Linked DNA regions of Ovis aries. The protein of the gene in region 1 purifies or fractionates together with the protein of each later gene. This does not show direct contact. Links are inferred from orthologs where the notes say so. Each region holds a gene or a part of one and is shown in the gene's direction. Other genes may lie near its edges.

Region 1 (3,646 bases):
TTGACAAAAGTGTAGTATTTAATAGATCTTTATGACTTAAATATCAATCTATTAGTGTTAATACTATCTAAAGCATAACCAGGTCATGTCATGATCTAAAACTAACTTGAATTTTATTATCATACAGTCTTCTCATTCCCATGTCATCCTCAGTATGTCTTCCCCAGTGCTTTAGGTTTTTCTACCAGTAAAAGTTTAAATGCTCACCAGCCTAGTTACTTCTCCCTTTTTGCCTTCAGAGATCAGTAGTTTTAATCTTTCAGGAAGTGGCTCCAGGCTTTCCATTTACTCTGAAACACGATTTCCCCAGTCCCCCAAAGTGATATCCTTAAGTTAATCTTTCACTAAAATTCCAGTTGAAGGCTATCTGTGGGTGTTGTGGTGTGAACCAGCAGAGAGCCTGGGACCATCTAACTGTGGGGTCCTGTTTCTTGGGGACAGCAGCTACCAAGGGGGTGCCGGCTGGAAACAGTGACACAGAGGGGGGCCAGCCTAGTCGGAAGCGGCGTTGGGGAGCCAGCACAGCCGCCACCCAGAAGAAACCCTCCATCAGTATCACCACCGAATCACTCAAGGTGAGGTGGGAGGGGCCGGGGAAGGGAGGATGAGACATGCGGTGGGAGTAGACATGGGCCCAGTGTAACGGGGTGGGGGGTATCTGTGTCCCAGAGCCTCATCCCCGACATCAAACCCCTGGCGGGGCAGGAGGCTGTTGTGGATCTTCATGCTGACGACTCCCGAATCTCTGAGGATGAGACAGAGCGTAATGGTGATGATGGGACCCATGACAAGGGGCTGAAAATATGCCGGACTGTCACTCAGGTAAGGCTCCTGTGCCCCACTTTGGGGGAGGGGGGTCTGAATGCAGAGTAAGTTGCTAAGTAGGGAGCTAAGGTGGAGCTCTAGAAGGGAAATCTGTGCAGAGGGTTGGCTTAATTGACCTTTGTAGGGGTCCGCAGAATACAAAATCTAACCTGTTGCCTGTAATGAAGTTCTGTTAGAACACAGTTAACACCAGTTTATATATTTTTCTCTATGGCTGCGTCCGTGCTATAATATCCAGAATTGACTAGTTGGAACTGTATGGCTCACAAATTCTATCATGTTTACTCTCTTGCTCTATACAGAAAAAAATTTGCCAATTCATGCCTTAGTTTTCCTCATGGGTGAGTTAAGGTCTTACCAGTCCCAGGACCTGGCGGAGGTGACCCTAATAATGAAATCTTCCCCCCACTGGAAAGAACACTTGAGGCTGACTACCACCATCTCTCCCCAAGAAACCAGAGGCAGGAAAGAATATGCCGGTTTGGTGTTGAAGAATCCCTCTGTTAATCTGATACCTTACAGGTGGTACCTGCTGAGGGCCAGGAGAATGGGCAGAGGGAAGAGGAGGAAGAAGAGAAGGAGCCTGAAGCCGAAGCCCCTGTACCTCCCCAGGTCTCAGTAGAGGTGGCCTTGCCGCCCCCTGTGGAACATGAAGTCAAGAAAGGTGGGTGCAGCACTGAGTGAAACGTGTGGCTCTTTGAGATCCCAGAGCACCTGATGTGGACCTCTTACAGCATCGAATGTCTTCTGCCTTGTGTTGTAGTATTTTACACATCTGTCTTGTTACACAAGCTACTTGAGGGCTAGGTTCGAATCTGTTTAATCTTTGCATCCCCATAATGAGGAGATCAGCCTGGACTGTACCTTGCACAGTGCAGGTACTCAGCACATTTAGACAGAAGAGTGACTACCGGTAGGGAATTTAAAAGTCCTGCTGAAGGCGAAAACCAGCATTGCTCCCTGCTGAAAACAATTCATGTGCTCTATTTGATAGTGACTTTAGGAGATACCTTAACTCGACGTTCCATTAGCCAGCAGAAGTCAGGAGTTTCCATTACGATTGATGACCCAGTCCGGACTGCTCAGGTGCCCTCCCCACCCCGGGGCAAGATCAGTAACATCGTCCACATCTCCAATTTGGTAAGTCATCGTTTCCAGCGGTGCAGCTTGATGTAGAGTCAGAGCTGTGGACCCGTGTTTCTTAGGTTCAGCTCCTGCATCTGCTGGTTACTCACTCGGTGACTCTGAGTGAGTTACTTAACCTCATAACCTGTCTCATGAAAAATGAGAAAAAAGTATCACCTTTCAGGATTGTCTGGAGTTTGTAGAGAGCCTCACCTGAGCATATTTCTTGCCTTCTTCGAGACCCTGAAGTTTCATTTCCATTGGCAGGTTCGTCCCTTCACTTTAGGCCAACTGAAGGAGTTGTTGGGACGTACAGGAACTCTGGTAGAAGAGGCTTTTTGGATTGACAAGATCAAATCTCACTGCTTTGTAACGGTGAGGGGAAGAAGCTGGTTCTCTAGGTTGTGCCCTATATCTCCTTTTGTGACCAACGTGGGCAGGTTTGAGGCCTTACGGCAAGTGGGAGGGAGGGAAGGCCTGTTGTGACCTTCTGCCTCTCCCTTCCTCCGTCAGTACTCGACAGTAGAGGAAGCAGTTGCCACCCGCACAGCTCTACATGGGGTCAAATGGCCCCAGTCCAACCCCAAATTCCTTTGTGCTGACTATGCTGAGCAAGATGAGGTAAGAAACCAAGGGAGAGGAAAGAGGGGAGGGGCAGGGGAGGCCCTCATCTGCGAGACTCCAGCTGAGACCCTGGCCAAACTGGTGGTCTCTGAGGGTGCTCCTCCCTCCACTTTGGTTTCCTGAGTTGAGCCGTGAGTCTGTTCGCCAGCGCCTGGGCTCCTTCAGTGGCGTGATGTTGTCTCCACCCTTTTGCCTCCTCTGCCCACAGCTGGACTATCACCGAGGCCTCTTGGTGGACCGTCCCTCTGAAACTAAGACAGAGGAGCAGGGGATGCCACGGCCACTACACCCCCCGCCCCCACCCCCAACCCAGCCACCACAGCACCCCAGGGCAGAACAGCGGGAGCAGGAGCGGGCGGTCCGGGAGCAGTGGGCAGAACGGGAACGGGAAATGGAGCGGCGGGAGCGGACTCGATCCGAGCGCGAATGGGATCGGGACAAAGTTCGAGAAGGGCCCCGATCCCGATCCCGGTCCCGTGATCGCCGCCGGAAGGAACGCGCAAAGTCTAAAGAAAAGAAGAGTGAGAAGAAAGGTACTTAGCTGCAGGGGCACAGTACCCACCTGTAAGTGGGGAAGGGACCCAAATGGGATGGGCCACAGGCTCACGTGCATCAAGTCTGAACCACTTCCTTCCACCTCAGAGAAAGCTCAGGAGGAACCACCTGCCAAGCTGCTGGATGACCTTTTCCGCAAGACCAAGGCAGCTCCCTGCATCTATTGGCTCCCACTGACTGACAGCCAGGTGAGTGCCTGCCTTCCCGCCCTGCTCAGAGATGCATCAGGCTAGGGGGCACAGAGGGCAGAGTCATGTGACTGTGGGAGAGAGTAGGCCTCGGTATCCTGTCGGCTTAGGATAATAAGGCAGAGGCTAAGCATCATGGAAAGAGGTAGTTTCAAGACCCAGTTGATTGTGCCCTAGAAAAGCCAGACCCAAAAAGGTAGAAGGTAGACATGGAGATTGGAACTTTGTGTGTGTATCCAAACTGGGTGTGCCAGCCACACTTCTTGGAAGTTGATTTTAGTTAGCTGAAAAATTTGTGTTTTATAAACTCAGCCATTTTTCTGCTTTTT
Region 2 (3,746 bases), on another chromosome or scaffold:
GTATTGGAGCTTCCGCTTCAGCATCAGTCCTTCTAATGAATATACAGGACTGATTTCCTTTAGGACAGACTGGTTGGAGCTCCGTGCAGTCCAAGAGACTCTCAAGAGTCTTCTCCAACACCACAGTTCAAAAGCATAAATTCTTCAGGGTTCAACTTTCTTTAAAGTCCAACTCTCACATCCATACATGACTACTGGAAAGACCATAGCTTTGACTAAACTGACCTTTGTTGGCAAAGGAATGTCTCTGTTTTTTAAATATGCTGTCTAGGATGGTCATAATTTTTCTTCCTGAAAAGCCAGTCCCTGTGGTTTTAGCGGGTCCGGGTTAGCCCTGCGCTCCAGAGCCTTCGATGTTGACCGGACTCCTGGACTTCTTCGTTTTAAAGCACCTTTCCAACTCTTTCCCCCACTTCCCACCGTGCTTTTCTCCAGGAGTCCATGGACGCTCTGGATACCAGCTTTCCGGCCACCACACGCCTCTCAGTCGTCTCCTCCCAGTCGGCTCCTCTCTTAAATTTTGTTTTTCCTCTTTTTAATCTAATCAGGTCTACCCGCCTTTTCCGGTTAGCGACTGTAGTTCACACAACAGCGCCCCGGCCTCCGCCCTGAGGGCCGCCCACTACAATTCCGAGCGCGCGTTCACTCTCAGCTTCCGCAGTCCCGCGTCCGCGTCCCTCAGGCCGTCCCCCTGCGGCGGAGCCCCTCCTTCAGCGCCCCGCCCACGACGCCAGTGCCCGCCCCTTCCCAGGAGGCAACACGCAGGCGCGCCTAACGGGCTAGAGCTTAGCATAGCTAGTGCGCCTGCGCCGGGAGACACCCCGCCCTCGAGCCGGTCATATATAAAACCTCGAGCGTATCCTCGCGAGAGGCTTGGTTCTCATGCTCTCTGCCGGGGTCGGAGGTCAGAGCGAGCGTCTTGCGGGCCGGAGAAGGAAGATGGCGGTGGAGTCGCGCGTTACCCAGGAGGAAATTAAGAAGGAGCCGGAGAAGCCCATCGATCGGGAGAAGGTGAGGGTCCGGAGAGATGCAGGGGTCCCTGGGGAGGTGGGGCGGCGGTGCGGGGCCGGAGGGAAGGGTCGGGACCGCGCGTGCAGCCTCCTGACTCCCCGCTGTCCCGCCCCCAGACCTGCCCGCTGCTCCTGCGCGTCTTCACCACCAACAACGGCCGCCACCACCGCATGGACGAGTTCTCCCGCGGAAACGTGCCGTCCAGCGAGCTGCAGATCTATACTTGGTGAGTCAGGGGGCCGGGGGCCCGCCTGCCGCCTTCGGGCTCTCCTCGGATCGGGGCCTCTGGAGGCAGCTCGCGGGAGGTCGAGGTTCGGTGAGGAAATGGTGTTAACTCGTCTTGTGGCACTTCGACCGCTCACGTTGAAACTTCTGGGTTGTAAAGAATTGACCCAGGACTGCTGTCACTGTTGTGGCTGCTGGGTACGGAAGTGACACGTCGAGCGTCCAGTACCGCAGCGGCTCCCAAGGGGCTCTTGGTAGAGGGTGGCGCTAGAATAATTTGGGGAGGGGAGTGGTGCTGTTGGGTGATACTCGTCGTCCTCATAGAGCGCGCGTGTGCTAAAACGCGCTTCAAAACAACGAAACCGGGTGGATTTTGATGTGCTTAATGGAGAAGCTTTTGATGTGTTTACTGAGGGTCTCCCCCTGAATGTTTGTGTACCTTCACTACCCACGTCTTACTAGGGCCGTTACGTACAGCAAGCCGTATGCAGTTCCTTGGTTTGACGTTACAGTGGCTTTATAGTAGCAGTAAAAGGTGTATAATTATTTAAAATATGCCTAATGTAAAATATGTGACATTTGTCATTTTAATTGTTTCAGGGTACATTTCGGTGCAACCATTACTACTATCTATTTTCAAAACTTTTAAATTCCCTACAACAGGTCTGTACCCAGTAGGTAATAATGGGAATTCTTCATTTCCCCTGGTCGCCATTATGTATGTGAATCTGTCTCTTTTAAGTACTTCATATAAATGCTCCCATATGGTATTTGTCGTCTTGTGTCTGGCCTGTTTCACTTATAATCAAGGTTTATTGATGATTAAGGATATGAAAAAACGTGATTGTTTTTTATGACTGACTGAATAACGTTTCATTGGAAGGCTTTGCTACATCTTGTCTGTCCACTTGTCTGCTGGTGAACACGGTGGGATTACAGTATGATTTATGTTCAGCTAAGTTTATGTAGTATGATTCCAGTTCAGTATTATTCCAGGAAAACAGCTCAGGAAGGTCGATTTAACTTACAGAGAAGAACTTTTATTAACAGATTGATGAACACTTCTGTTCAGATTAGTCTATATTTCCTCTAATAAATTTAGAGTTCCTACTTGCCAGATACTTGCTTTGACTGAAGAGTATAAAGAGGGTTACACCCCCTCTCTAGAGTAAACTCAATCTCCAAAAGAAAGCAGATGGAATAAATGGAGGGTGAGATTGTGCCACACTCTCTACTCTCAATCAAGGAAAAAAAAAATTACAAAAAATTAAATCCCGTCCTCAATTGTCCTGTCCATAAACTGCAACCAAACAAGACAACCTTATCTTACACCTCAAAATGGTGGACAGACTGGATGTTGGTGAGGGACAGAATGGAGCCCTGCTGTCATTCCAGAAGCAGCAATGAGGGAAGATTGGGGATTCCCAATTTGTAGAAATAGATTGAGGGGCCAAAGTAGGTGGCCTTGAGATAAGTCCAGGAAAGAGGAGTGAGGAGCCCAGCAGAAGCTAGTTGAATTGGCTAAAGTCCAAGGGACTGTGTGGAGCTGGGGGAACACCCCACCCCAGGAGTGATAGATCTTGTGCTTGGGTGGTCACTAAACAGGTTACTGGAAGAGAATTATCTCAATTACTGAAATAGGGTTCAGTGAGAAAAACAGACCAATAGGAGACAGAGCAAGAAATGGCTCACATAGTTGTGGGGATTGCCTAGGTCTGTGGCTGGAACTCTCCATCATAAGCTTTTGGAATTTCTTCAGGGAAGTCTTAGGTCCAGTATGAAGCCTTTTCAACCTGATTGAATGAGGCCCACTGATTGATTTAATGAAGTTTACTCAGATCATCTTGGATAATCACTTTAAAGTCAACTGATTATAGATTTTTGATCCTGTCTCAAAAACACATACCTTAGTGTTTGTTTGATTGAATAATTAGGAGCTGTAGTTTCCTAAGTTGACATATAAAATTGACCCTTACAGTCACCAGGAACTCTTGCAGAGATTTGAATAATGAGAGGTTAAATATAGCCTGATGGTGGGAATGGAGAAAAAAAATAGATTGATCTGTCTTTTGGCTGCACTTCAGAACTTGCAGGATCTTAGTTCCCCAAGCAGGGATGGAAACCTGTGCCCCCTGCAGTGGAATCCTGGAGTCAGCCACGGGACCACCAGGGAAGTCCTACTTGATCTGTCTTTAGGAGGTAGAAATAACAGGCCAGCAATGGGAAGAACTTTACCACTCTTAGGTTTGTGACCTGGGCATCTAAGAGGGTGATGGTCATATGAGAAGAAGGGCATATTTGGGGGACACTGTAGAGTTGTTTCGGGTGTATTGAGAAGGATTCAGCAGCAGTAGAGGAGGAAAGGTGATGTGATCATTGTGGCCTTTTTGCTCTCAGTGCAGCTGAAGCCATGGTTTTTTACCTGAATGTGATGTAGTGGAGCTGGTGTAAATAGGGAACTGAGTTAAAACTAGATGACTTCTTGGGTGTTTGACCCCCTGCTTAATGCC

The links. Proteins that work in one complex are often made in the same cells at the same time.
Region 2: the proteins of ACIN1 (region 1) and SAP18 fractionate together in Homo sapiens (co-fractionation; 7 studies listed by BioGRID and IntAct, with this or other methods). This does not show direct contact. The link is inferred for Ovis aries from reciprocal best matches to the Homo sapiens genes ACIN1 and SAP18.

What each region holds. Positions count from the first base shown.
Region 1 is NC_056060.1:21,612,399-21,616,044, forward strand, and holds part of ACIN1 (apoptotic chromatin condensation inducer in the nucleus), read left to right. Parts: intron 1-441; coding exon 442-575; intron 576-669; coding exon 670-822; intron 823-1,347; coding exon 1,348-1,489; intron 1,490-1,819; coding exon 1,820-1,965; intron 1,966-2,217; coding exon 2,218-2,325; intron 2,326-2,463; coding exon 2,464-2,571; intron 2,572-2,782; coding exon 2,783-3,107; intron 3,108-3,216; coding exon 3,217-3,317; intron 3,318-3,646.
Region 2 is NC_056063.1:35,853,387-35,857,132, reverse strand, and holds the start of SAP18 (histone deacetylase complex subunit SAP18), read left to right. Parts: upstream 1-870; 5' UTR 871-882; coding exon 883-1,011; intron 1,012-1,127; coding exon 1,128-1,237; intron 1,238-3,746. UniProt on the Homo sapiens protein: Component of the SIN3-repressing complex. Enhances the ability of SIN3-HDAC1-mediated transcriptional repression. When tethered to the promoter, it can direct the formation of a repressive complex to core histone proteins.